Linked DNA regions of Arabidopsis thaliana. The protein of the gene in region 1 interacts with the protein of each later gene in a pairwise test. Each region holds a gene or a part of one and is shown in the gene's direction. Other genes may lie near its edges.

Region 1 (4,741 bases):
TAGATCAGAATAGACTTAATTAGTCTCCACCATACAAATTTGGTAAGAAGAAAAACAATGATAAGATACCAGTGGCCTAATGCAACTAAAGCAGTTTGAGGAAGAGGATGGAAGATCTTTCGCGGTCCAAGTATATCATGGCTACACAAAATCACTGCTCTTTTTGCGTTCCTTTATTCTTGAGTATCTTCACGTTTAATTTACTATTATTTTCTAATGAAAAATTGTACACCTTTTTATATATATGAACTCTTTGTTTTTTCGTTAGTTGCTCGTGTAGTAAATTAAACATATATGCTCATAATCAATAAAAACATACAATGTTAGAAGAAAAAAATACAATTTTTTTTACTAACGAATCATATGAATAGTTGTTTTATATACGGTACATTAACGATCCTCTCATCAGCTTTATAGATAACGAAGCATATTATTCTCCTTAGTTCCGCTTTTTATCACTTGAGATTAAACTCTACTCACAGGTTTAAGCACGTAAATTAGTTACTAAATAATGGATTTGACATTTACGCTTTGCATGCTTATATATGTTACCCATAATTATTTCCCTTTAGTTACTTAAAGTTACCAAAATCAACTACTTCAAGATTCTCCAATCAAAAGAAGCGTGTAAAAGCCTCTATAGTTATATAGTAGTATATAGACCTTGAAGATTTCTTTTTGAAGAAAATATGATTATACTGAGTTCAAAAGGTCGAAAAGAAATAATAAAGGTAGAATCCCTTTACATGATGTGTGGAACAACTTTTCTTGACCTCCAACTTCTTGGGATCGTGGGAAATATATAGGAGAATCTAATCGGAAGTTGTACAGAACGTGTAAGAACTAAGAACCATATTCACTTTGTTGTCATTGTTATAAGATTCAAGATTCTTTGACCGGCGCGTGAAAAAAGCATCCACCTATAGGCTCAAGATTCGTGTCCAAGAAAATATCGAGAACCGATGATTACTTGGAAAGTGGACCATTTTTTAAAAAATCAAAAATTAAAAAAGGAACGTAGCTCATGCGAATAGTTTAGTCCACCAAAGTGAAATGGTAGAACATTTGGTTTCAGTTTAGTTGTGTGTATTTTTATTAAAGGCTTCAGAATCAATTTCGATTTTTGAAAAATGAGTTTTTATAGCCATGTTAGTATGTTACGAGGATGGAAAAGCAACCTAGCTAGATTATCTTGTGATATGTGTTATTGTTCAAGAGAAGTAGGGGCAGTAGTTGTCGAGATCATGTTATTAGTGTCGCTGGAATGTTAGATATTGCCCATCCTGTCTCTTTTTCCCCATCGTGCCCTAAAAGTCAAACTATGCATGGTATTAGCTAATCTTGAATAGGTTTAATTCAGTACGGAAACTCTAATTGAAAACTACCTTCATGGAGTAATAGTTATCGAGGAACGATGATGAGGTATTAGTGGAGATAAGCAGATTTGGACTCAATATCAAAAATTAATGGTGGGATCCATTTCCGTTTCACCTAATATACATAGTGGCAAACAAAAAACAAATATAAGAAGAAAAGATTCAGTATCGAGCATTCTAGCTATGTCGGTAACGTGACAAAGTCCTTTTTTTCGTTTGTCTGTTTCTTTAAAGTTAATCAAATCGGCCAACGCTGCCTCAACAACGAGCTTCCTTTTTCTAACGTCCCTAATTTGCCACGTCCATTTTCTGGACTAGTCCCGGTTTAAAAAATCTTCAGAGATGTATTCGTGGTCAACTTCATTAACTCTTTCTCTTGAGCCCTTCATTAGTTATGATCTTATTTACTTTTTAAAAATCTAACCAAGTACTGTATATTATATATGTGGTAGCCAAAATATTATGTTAAATTCTAGGCTAATCCGATATATCAAGAAAAATCAATATATAAAAATGGAGAGCTATTTTTCACGAGTTAAGTGAGAGAGATGAGTAAAGAAAGGCACGGGAAGGTGAAGAGAGTGTAGGTTTCCAGCTTCTTCCCCAAGAAATAAAATGTATTTGACTTTGTCTAAGCAAATATGTCGTCACTTTAACGTCATTCATTACCTAGAATGCAATTAAGATATGGCTTTTACATAAGCCACCAAATTTGGTTTTGTTGCCCCAAAATATCCCAAGAAAAGATCAACTTCTTCTTCTTACCAAAACTGTCGGCGTCGTCTCCTCTAAGCTCCTCCCATGGAAGCAGAAGAAGGTCATCAGCGTGACCGCCTCTGCGACTATTGCGACTCCTCCGTGGCTCTTGTCTACTGCAAAGCTGACTCCGCCAAGCTCTGCCTCGCCTGCGACAAGCAAGTCCACGTCGCCAACCAACTCTTCGCCAAACACTTCAGGTCACTTCTCTGCGACTCCTGCAACGAATCTCCCTCTTCCCTTTTCTGCGAGACTGAAAGGTCTGTTCTTTGCCAGAACTGCGACTGGCAACACCACACCGCCTCTTCCTCCCTTCATAGCCGCAGACCCTTTGAAGGATTTACCGGCTGTCCCTCCGTGCCTGAGTTGCTGGCCATCGTTGGCCTCGATGACCTCACTCTCGATTCCGGATTGCTTTGGGAGTCACCTGAGATCGTTAGCCTCAACGACCTTATTGTTTCGGGCGGGTCGGGTACTCATAACTTCCGGGCCACGGATGTTCCTCCTCTGCCTAAGGTATAACTTGCTCTGTTTTTTTTCTCGAGCCAATTGCTCGGTTTTTATATTTCTCTGAAATGTTTTGAAATGCTCCAGAATCGTCACGCCACCTGCGGGAAATACAAAGATGAGATGATCCGACAGCTCCGTGGACTATCCAGATCTGAGCCTGGTTGTCTGAAATTTGAAACCCCAGATGCTGAGATCGATGCCGGGTTCCAATTCCTAGCGCCGGATTTGTTTTCTACATGCGAGCTGGTAATAGAGACTGCTATTGGTTGTGTTTTCTTGTGCTTGTCAAATGATTTTCCAGCTTATAAATCTCTCTTGTCAATATGAAGGAGAGTGGACTGAAATGGTTCGATCAGCAAGATCATGAGGACTTTCCATATTGCTCTCTGCTAAAGAACTTGTCGGAGTCAGATGAGAAACCTGAGAATGTAGACCGAGAGTCATCGGTGATGGTTCCCGTTTCCGGCTGCTTAAACCGATGTGAGGAAGAGACTGTGATGGTTCCGGTTATCACTAGTACAAGGTCGATGACACATGAGATCAACAGTCTTGAGAGGAACTCTGCTCTCTCTCGCTACAAAGAAAAGAAGAAGTCTCGAAGGTAAACAAGCTAATTTAAAAAGTGAGACACCACCAATAGGATTGGGATTTGAATCATGTGTTGATGAAACAGGTACGAGAAACACATCAGGTATGAATCACGCAAGGTTCGTGCAGAAAGCAGGACAAGAATCAGGGGACGTTTCGCCAAGGCAGCAGATCCATGAATGATGATGAGGTTACTTTGATAATCAAAAATCTTTTGTATTAATCGAATCATATAGTGTGTATGATCAGATAAGTTTTTGTATTCTAAGCTTAGGAGTTATCACTGTATATCGACCACACTCTCAAAATTGTCACTTAAGAATAGTTTTTTTTTTGTTTTGCCTCCGATTCCTAATTTGCCAAAGGGCAAGCATGGACGAGCACAGAACAAAACATGGTTCACAGTTATATACAATCTCAAGACAAGCAAGCAGCAAAAGAACTTGTTGTAATGTTAGAAAGTGAGATTGGACCCATTAAAGATCCATGGAGCAAGAAGGGCTTGATGTAATTGATATTATGGGCTCAAGTTGTAACATAGTAAACCCAATATAGGTTGGCATGTTTGGGCCATTTTCTTTTAAAGCCCAAATATAAAAGCGTCTCTTCCCGATGGCCGGCGAAACAGAAATTCCGCTGCCGTCGCAGCTTTCACTCTTGTTTTTTTATTCAGATGAAATTGGATGGCCGATGAAGACAAACATCCAAAGGCATGGGCTCGCGGCAACAACTATTTGCAATCTACCAATATATAATAATCTGAGGCAGTATAAAAATACAAAAAAAAATGACAACACTTTTTGGCAGATCATTCCTGCTACGATGAATCTGTCCCAATGATAATCTGAGAAGTAAAGTAAGTTTTGGTTGAACAAGGAATCTGGAGTGGGTTTTACTTGTTGAGCAATCAGTAAGCACTAAATCATGTATCAGAGTTGTGGTTATATTCTCTATGTTCTTCTTAGAATTCAAATATGAATCTGACTTGGAGTTCTTTATTTTAATGATGGTTAATTTTACTGTTAATATTTTTGGATTTGAACATTTGGTGAAGAGTGGTTGCAGCTTGAAGCAATTTTGCATCTCTCACTCTTCGTTTACTGTTTGTTGACGTTGAAGATTAGGCCCCAACAAACTTGTATATAAGAGCCCTTCTCTGTTTATTCTCCTGTCTTAAGAGCGCTAAATCCCTTGGAGACATCTTCACCACACTGTTCAGAGATCTGTCATGGGCCCCGGAGGACCAGGAGGACCCGGAGGACCAGGGTTCTTGCCACCGGGAGGACCAGGCTTCTTCCCACCCATTGGTGGTTTCTTTTCTGGGTTCTCCGACATGATATGTTCCTGGTAAAGACATTCTCTGTTTTGCTATGTGTTTTGTAAAGAGTTAAGTGGTTAGTCTGACTGTGGAATCTTGCAGTCTATCTTGTCTGTGCTGCTGCTGGCTGCTACGAGATTGCTTTGGCGGCCCACCGCCACAAGGACCGCCACTTCTGCCACCCTATTATTGA
Region 2 (5,098 bases), about 11 Mb from region 1:
GTATATGTTACAAAACCAAATTCATTTGTATTATTGAGAATGACTAACTGTTTCATTCGCTCCCTCTTGTTCATTCACTCCCATCGTTTCATTCGCTCCCTCCTCTTCATTCGCTTCCTTGTGATTTTCATCCAAGGACTCCAGCTGTTAAATCAAGTAAAGTGAGAACCAAATTCATTTGTATTAGAAAAAAAAAAAAAAGACAATTCACATTTGCATCAGCCGATTTACTGGTTTTCTCCGGCAAAGTCTCGACCACCTCAGTGACATGTGAATGGTCAACCCATCTATTGCTTTCATTCCACTTGTTTGGTGGCTCTCCCATCTCCAAGGTCTCGTCATTCCTAATCGGAAAACTATTTAGTGGCTCTCCCAAATAGTTCGGTTGTATGCGATGGTGTTAAAGCAGATGCATGGAACATGTGCAAATACCATACTCAATTGAGAGGTGTATTCCTTGGGCAATATAACTTTGCTATATGGCTGCCACTTAATCTGAAAAAATATAATCTAAGTATTTAATATAGAACAAATGCATATGACAAAGAGATGAAATTTTGTTAGGTACCTCATCTTCCTTCATGTCTACAAGCATCTCTTGATAGTGTCCCCCACTTCTGTTGGCACAATTTTTGGTATACGGTTTATATATCTTTGCCCACTCAACCATTAAAGGAAAACTGGATGGAAATAGTTGTTGAAAGATAGTAAATCGCTCTAATGCAAATACCTACACGAAAAAATAAAAAACAATTAACATTATACAAATAATCAACATCAACATAATTAGTTTTTGTTTCACATAAAAACTTTACTTGCAGAGCAAAGACAAAACCGCAGAAAAATGTGGTTTGACCTTTAGTAAAAGCCTTCTTCCATTTGCATAAAGCGTCTTTTAGGATAGTTGAAGATGATGTCTACCCTCTAAACACACAAGATTATATGGCAGACACCACCCAAAACCAAGGCGTAACACAAACACGTAACAGTGTACAAACTTCTTCTAGACGTGCAAGGCAACCTCGAAGAAGGTCTATCATTGAAAGCGTGATCGAAAATAGTGGAAACTTTATTACGGAGTATCGTGAAAGACGGGGTGTTGTACTTTTGTATCAAGATGTTATTAACGCTCTTAGACGTCTTGATGTCCCGAAGCGTACACCATTCTGGCGGGCTGCAGTACGATGTCTTGCTCAAGCCAACTATGCATCGGCTTTTGTTGCTCTAGAAGAAGAGGAAAATATTGATTGGCTTGAAGCTATTACTGGATTCAGCAAAGACGGAGAACGTTTCGATGAGCAAGAATTGGGTTTTGGATGCAATGGTTTCATGATAAATTCAAGTTTCTAATGTTTTTAAATCAATAAAACTGATTCTAATACACTCATTTGGTAAAACCAAAAAAATCTCATAAGAAACTTACAGGATATTTTGTGTAAACCGGATAGATAAACTAAACCGGTAAGGTAAAATTAAGAAACCGGTCTGGTTAAAGATGGAAAAGGAGAGGCACTGAGAAGAGCCGAGTCATCGACCGACCGAATCATCTCTCTTCTTCTTCTTCTCCTCCTCTTAGAAGTGGGCGGTGGAGACTTCCATTACCTACAAATATCAGATTCCTCTTTTCTTCGCTCGATTCCATTTCAAAATCTGTTCTTCTATCTCCTGTTCCTGAAGAAGACGATTTCTGGGTTTGTCTAAAGTTTGGAACTTTTTTCCTGTGGAGACTTCGATTACCTACAGATATCAGATTCCTCGATTCAAAATCAAACTTTGTTCTTCTGGGTCTCTTCTCCTGTTGCTGAGGAAGAAGATTAGTGGGCTTAAGCTTTATTTTGTGGGTGTGTATGCAAAATCAAATGGAGTGGGATAGTGATTCCGATCTCAGCGGTGGAGATGAAGTGGCGGAGGATGGATGGTTCGGTGGAGATAACGGAGCGATTCCGTTTCCGGTAGGTAGTCTTCCTGGCACGGCGCCGTGTGGGTTTGTGGTCAGCGATGCTCTTGAACCTGACAACCCTATCATTTATGTTAACACTGTTTTTGAGATTGTTACTGGTTATCGAGCTGAAGAAGTTATTGGTCGAAATTGGTGAGTTTGCTCTTCTTGACTTTTACCCTAAATTTGTGGTGTTGATTTTGTTTTACTGTAGCGAATTTTGTCTCATTTGTGGTATTGGTACGATGTTACTAGAAAGCTTTGTTGAAAGCTGTTTTGACAGAAAGAAATTTATATTTCGATTCATTATTATGGTTCTTGTTGATTATGTTAGGTATTATTAGCTAGAACCATTTTGGAATCATGGGTTGGTTATTGAATTAGAAGTTTGTTGTGGAGGAACTAAGCTATAATGTGAGGTTCAGTTTGTAATGTTTCCTATGTCTGTGGATTAGTGTTTAGGAACTCGAACTTTGATAGTTTTTCACATGTCTTGATTGGTTTATGAAAGCCTTGGGATTATTGATTTTTGTAATATTGAATTGTAATGCGTTTTTGTCTAAGTATATATGTTTCTGTTGAATATGTTTCTCTTGGGTTTTAGCGGCTTTTGATCTGGTATTCCATGTTAATTATGCATATAGTTTAGTCTTTGTTCAATACTTGTGTGTGAGGAATTGTTCGCCAAAGTACTGTATCTGTTTAGTTGTTAGTTATCTATTCGATGAATTGAATAGGAGGGTCTTGTATCTGATTTGTGCTGTTGTTTTTTATTTGGCAGCCGTTTCTTGCAATGTAGAGGGCCATTTACTAAAAGAAGGCATCCAATGGTAGATTCTACAATTGTAGCGAAGATGCGACAATGTCTAGAAAATGGCATCGAGTTTCAAGGCGAGTTGCTCAACTTTCGGAAAGATGGATCTCCCTTGATGAACAAGCTGCGTCTAGTCCCTATCCGTGAAGAAGACGAAATCACTCATTTCATAGGCGTTCTCTTATTTACAGATGCAAAAATTGATCTTGGCCCATCTCCTGATTTATCTGCAAAAGAAATTCCTAGAATATCTCGCTCATTTACTTCTGCTTTACCAATCGGAGAGCGTAATGTTTCTCGTGGACTCTGTGGGATATTCGAACTGAGTGATGAAGTAATAGCTATCAAGATATTGTCACAGTTGACTCCTGGTGATATTGCATCGGTTGGTTGTGTATGTAGGCGGCTCAATGAGTTGACAAAGAATGATGATGTGTGGAGAATGGTCTGTCAAAACACATGGGGTACCGAGGCAACACGTGTTCTTGAGAGTGTTCCCGGTGCAAAAAGGATTGGTTGGGTGCGACTGGCCCGAGAGTTCACCACTCACGAAGCAACAGCATGGAGGAAGTTTTCAGTTGGAGGTACTGTTGAGCCTTCTCGGTGTAATTTCAGCGCATGTGCAGTTGGGAACAGGATTGTTATCTTTGGCGGGGAAGGTGTGAATATGCAGCCGATGAATGATACATTTGTGTTGGACCTTGGCTCGAGTAGTCCCGAGTGGAAATCTGTTCTGGTCAGCTCTCCTCCTCCGGGTCGCTGGGGTCACACACTTTCTTGTGTCAACGGTTCCCGTTTAGTAGTGTTTGGAGGTTACGGGAGCCACGGATTACTCAATGATGTGTTCTTATTAGACCTTGATGCAGACCCACCAAGCTGGAGGGAAGTATCCGGATTGGCCCCTCCAATACCAAGATCATGGCACAGTTCGTGCACACTTGATGGCACTAAGCTGATTGTATCTGGTGGTTGTGCTGATTCAGGAGCTCTACTCAGCGATACATTCCTGCTTGACCTATCGATGGATATACCTGCTTGGAGGGAGATACCGGTTCCATGGACTCCCCCATCTCGCCTCGGGCATACTCTAACTGTCTATGGTGACCGCAAGATTCTTATGTTTGGCGGTCTAGCTAAAAACGGTACTTTGAGATTCCGCTCTAACGATGTATACACGATGGATCTTAGCGAGGATGAACCGAGTTGGAGACCTGTGATTGGGTATGGATCTAGCCTCCCCGGAGGCATGGCAGCTCCACCACCAAGGCTGGACCATGTGGCAATCAGCCTTCCCGGTGGTAGAATCTTGATCTTTGGTGGTTCGGTTGCAGGGCTTGACTCGGCTTCTCAGCTTTATCTTCTTGATCCAAATGAGGAGAAACCGGCATGGAGAATACTGAATGTTCAGGGAGGTCCGCCGAGGTTTGCATGGGGACACACAACATGTGTGGTCGGAGGAACTCGATTGGTCGTATTAGGTGGTCAGACCGGTGAAGAGTGGATGTTAAATGAAGCACATGAACTGTTACTAGCAACTTCTACCACTGCAAGTACTTGATCAAGTGATGAAGTTAAAAAGGCATTTAGATGTGTTGGACAAAAGATCTATACATTGATCAAAAACATGTTCATATTGTCTGTACATGGTGAGTTTGATACGTCCATGTTTTGTTCATCTGTTGACTTAATGTTTTTTTTTTGTATATGCAATATTACGAATTGGATTGTACATAACGTCTTTTGTAGTGCAAGTGGCCAAATGATCTAAATCCAAACCTTTTTTTTTGTCCTCCCAAAATGTTTCATGTCTGATTGAAATCAAAATTATTGTGTTTAGGGTTTAGATCTTTTCTCCACGGATCATATAATAATTGTTTTTTTTTTTGAAGAATTATTAAGAAAAAAAAGGACCAAAAAAAAGAAAAGAAAGATTCGTCGGAAAAAGCAGGAAAAAAAAAAGAATGCAAGAAATGTGAAGTGTGTTTGACTCTTTCATTGGTCAGTGTGAAAAGTAAAGTACATTTACACTTGCAAGAAAAAAAACACAGAGACGAACCAAAACCTCACTCTCTCCCCTGAAACTAATCTTCCACTTTTTCACTGTCTGCAACTTGCAACTACAACTAGCAAGCAAGAACCTTTCTTCTTCTTCTTCTTAATCTCAGATTCTTGTCTGAAAACTTTCTCTTTCATTTTCTCTCAATTTAACACTTTCAAGATGCCGATCAACAAAGACCCATCAACACCTCCTCCTGTTATCGGAAAAATCGGTCCTTACACTGTCTTTATGACTCCTCCTGCGACTCCTAAACCACCTGAATCTCCCTCCGCTGTGTCTCAGAAGC
Region 3 (3,113 bases), on another chromosome or scaffold:
TGGAGATTGGACTGAGCAGATGTGTTGATGTGACGGATATTGGGATGATAAGTCTTGCACGCAACTGCTTAAACCTGAAAACATTAAATCTGGCGTGTTGCGGATTCGTGACGGATGTAGCCATCTCTGCTGTAGCTCAGTCTTGCCGGAATCTAGGGACTTTAAAGTTAGAGTCTTGTCATTTGATAACTGAGAAAGGTCTTCAATCGCTTGGATGTTACTCCATGCTTGTTCAAGAACTTGATCTTACTGACTGTTATGGTGTAAATGACAGAGGTAATAGAAAGATATATGTGAACTCAAACCTCCGTTTGTGTTTTAGATATTGTCATCTTTGGTATCTTACGGTTTTTTGTTCCGTTGGGACCGCAGGGCTAGAATATATCTCGAAGTGTTCGAATCTTCAAAGATTGAAACTTGGACTCTGCACAAATATCTCAGACAAAGGGATTTTCCATATTGGTTCCAAATGTTCGAAGCTTCTAGAACTTGATCTATACCGGTACACTTTCTTGGTGGATTCTTGATGAAAAATGTGCAAGACATGTTTCGTTTTCTTACTGATTTCTGGTTTTTGAGTGCAGCTGTGCCGGTTTTGGAGATGATGGTTTAGCAGCTTTATCTCGAGGTTGCAAGAGCTTGAACCGACTCATTCTATCATACTGCTGTGAACTAACTGACACCGGGGTTGAACAAATCCGGCAGCTAGAACTTCTAAGTCACCTCGAACTTCGAGGGCTAAAGAATATAACCGGTGTTGGTTTAGCAGCCATTGCGTCCGGCTGCAAGAAATTGGGTTACTTGGACGTTAAACTCTGCGAGAATATTGATGATTCGGGTTTTTGGGCGCTCGCTTACTTCTCGAAAAACCTACGACAGGTACAAAAAATAACATTTATAGATGGAGATCTGGAAGCATCTATTGGAAACATGTTTGATTCTTGTGTTGTGTGTTTTGTTTGGCAGATAAACTTGTGCAATTGCTCGGTGTCTGATACGGCTCTATGCATGTTGATGAGCAATCTGAGTCGGGTTCAAGACGTTGACTTAGTTCATCTGAGCCGTGTGACTGTAGAAGGGTTTGAGTTTGCTCTAAGAGCCTGTTGCAATAGGCTCAAGAAGCTTAAACTTCTCGCACCTCTCAGATTCTTGCTCTCATCGGAATTGCTCGAGACGCTTCATGCTCGTGGTTGCCGCATTAGATGGGACTGAAAACATAAAGAACAACGCGGTTTCTTGTGTTGGTTAGTTTATACTGTTGTAGGTTTTTGATGTTTATAATCTCAATGTTAAAAATCAGTGAAACTTTAGTAGCGGTTTGTTTTGGATCCATATAAATGAATCGGTTTAAGTGAATTGCTGCGGTAAAATATTTTGCTATAACCGGTAAAAAAGATCGGACAACGCTTAAGTAATGATTTCTAGTTAGAAAGTTGTTGATGTGTAATAGATCTATGTGATGAACTGATGATCATATGTTTTTGAAGTCTAACAGAAAGCTAAACCAATCAGATGCAACATGTAACTCCTTTGTGTTCGAGCAATGATATGAATTATGCTTTCACATTTAACATTTGAAAACATATTTTTTAACTAAATAATTCAAAATAAGTTTTGTACAGCAAAAAATTATCTTGCAATTTTATAGAGAAAATATAGTTTTGTATTTACTTTATTTCTTTTTTCTAACACTATTAATTGGTATAATATATACACTTTAAGTAAAAATAAATCACTTTCTTTTTTCTTCTTATAATAATAACCAAATAATGTTAGTCAAACAAATAATGTTAATATCATTAAATATTCTTAACAATATACTAAATGCGTTAAGATTCATTGTTGTAAAAGTTTACCTGCTTACTATCCCACCATATCTAATCTATGCTTAAGCTTTTCCTTTATATATGCAAATCTTCAAATAAAAAAATAACAAGCCTAGAACACTAGAAACTTCAAAAAAGAAAAAAATCTTATGGAGAACAACAACGGCAACAACCAGCTGCCACCGAAAGGTAACGAGCAACTGAAGAGTTTCTGGTCAAAAGAGATGGAAGGTAACTTAGATTTCAAAAATCACGACCTTCCTATAACTCGTATCAAGAAGATTATGAAGTATGATCCGGATGTGACTATGATAGCTAGTGAGGCTCCAATCCTCCTCTCGAAAGCATGTGAGATGTTTATCATGGATCTCACGATGCGTTCGTGGCTCCATGCTCAGGAAAGCAAACGAGTCACGCTACAGAAATCTAATGTCGATGCCGCAGTGGCTCAAACTGTTATCTTTGATTTCTTGCTTGATGATGACATTGAGGTAAAGAGAGAGTCTGTTGCCGCCGCTGCTGATCCTGTGGCCATGCCACCTATTGACGATGGAGAGCTGCCTCCAGGAATGGTAATTGGAACTCCTGTTTGTTGTAGTCTTGGAATCCACCAACCACAACCACAAATGCAGGCATGGCCTGGAGCTTGGACCTCGGTGTCTGGTGAGGAGGAAGAAGCGCGTGGGAAAAAAGGAGGTGACGACGGAAACTAATAAGTGGAATACGTTTTAGGGTATTTTCAAGGGAATATGTAGTAAATAGTCATGGATCTAATTTTTTTAAAGAAATAGCCATGAGATACAATGTTCTGTCGGAAACACATGTATTATTACATGTATAACCTTAGACATTGAGGGGACAATACACTATTTGGGAGCGTGATGATTCTCGGTTTGAAATTTGAAATATTCAGAAGCTAACATTATATTCATTCTCTCGCACCAAAAGTAATATATGAGAAAATAAAAATCTTGTTTTTTCTTCACACCGCAAAATATCCTCCCAAAATCTAGCGCCGTCGTTGGCGATTGCGTTCACCGTCGGTTACTCTCATCTTCTTCAATCAAGCCCAGAACTTGATTGTCTCCTTGAAACCTTCTTCTCGTTCTTGTCGCCGTTAGCAATCCAAGTATTAATTTCTGATCCTCCCCTTGCCGACGAATCTGGTAAGGTAAGCCATTGATTTTCGTTTATTTATTGCCGATCTTCTTCTATTTCTTCCTCTTTATACTTCAATTGCATAGAAATTAACGATTGTGGCCAGATCTAAAGTTTGGTTCTTTTTCC

The links. The genes of interacting proteins can lie anywhere in the genome.
Region 2: the proteins of AT2G47890 (region 1) and LKP2 interact in a two-hybrid assay, tested with the Arabidopsis thaliana proteins (one study listed by BioGRID).
Region 3: the proteins of AT2G47890 (region 1) and NF-YC8 interact in binary tests that used the Arabidopsis thaliana proteins (3 or more experiments, as listed by UniProt).

What each region holds. Positions count from the first base shown.
Region 1 is NC_003071.7:19,606,068-19,610,808, forward strand, and holds AT2G47890 (B-box type zinc finger protein with CCT domain-containing protein), read left to right. Parts: upstream 1-1,928; 5' UTR 1,929-2,177; coding exon 2,178-2,648; intron 2,649-2,726; coding exon 2,727-2,888; coding exon of another isoform or gene 2,889-2,969; exon of another isoform or gene 2,970-2,971; coding exon 2,972-3,243; coding exon of another isoform or gene 3,244-3,247; exon of another isoform or gene 3,248-3,315; coding exon 3,316-3,409; 3' UTR 3,410-4,220; downstream 4,221-4,741.
Region 2 is NC_003071.7:8,194,005-8,199,102, reverse strand, and holds LKP2 (LOV KELCH protein 2), read left to right. Parts: upstream 1-1,619; 5' UTR 1,620-1,847; coding exon 1,848-2,092; intron 2,093-2,720; coding exon 2,721-4,311; 3' UTR 4,312-4,591; downstream 4,592-5,098. Other genes in the region: AT2G18920 (uncharacterized protein), read left to right, coding at 943-1,350; AT2G18910 (hydroxyproline-rich glycoprotein family protein), read left to right, coding at 4,972-5,098.
Region 3 is NC_003076.8:9,940,162-9,943,274, reverse strand, and holds NF-YC8 (nuclear factor Y, subunit C8), read left to right. Parts: upstream 1-1,827; 5' UTR 1,828-1,975; coding exon 1,976-2,539; 3' UTR 2,540-2,606; downstream 2,607-3,113. Other genes in the region: AT5G27920 (F-box family protein), read left to right, coding at 1-276, 373-502, 585-879, 967-1,212. UniProt on the Arabidopsis thaliana protein: Stimulates the transcription of various genes by recognizing and binding to a CCAAT motif in promoters.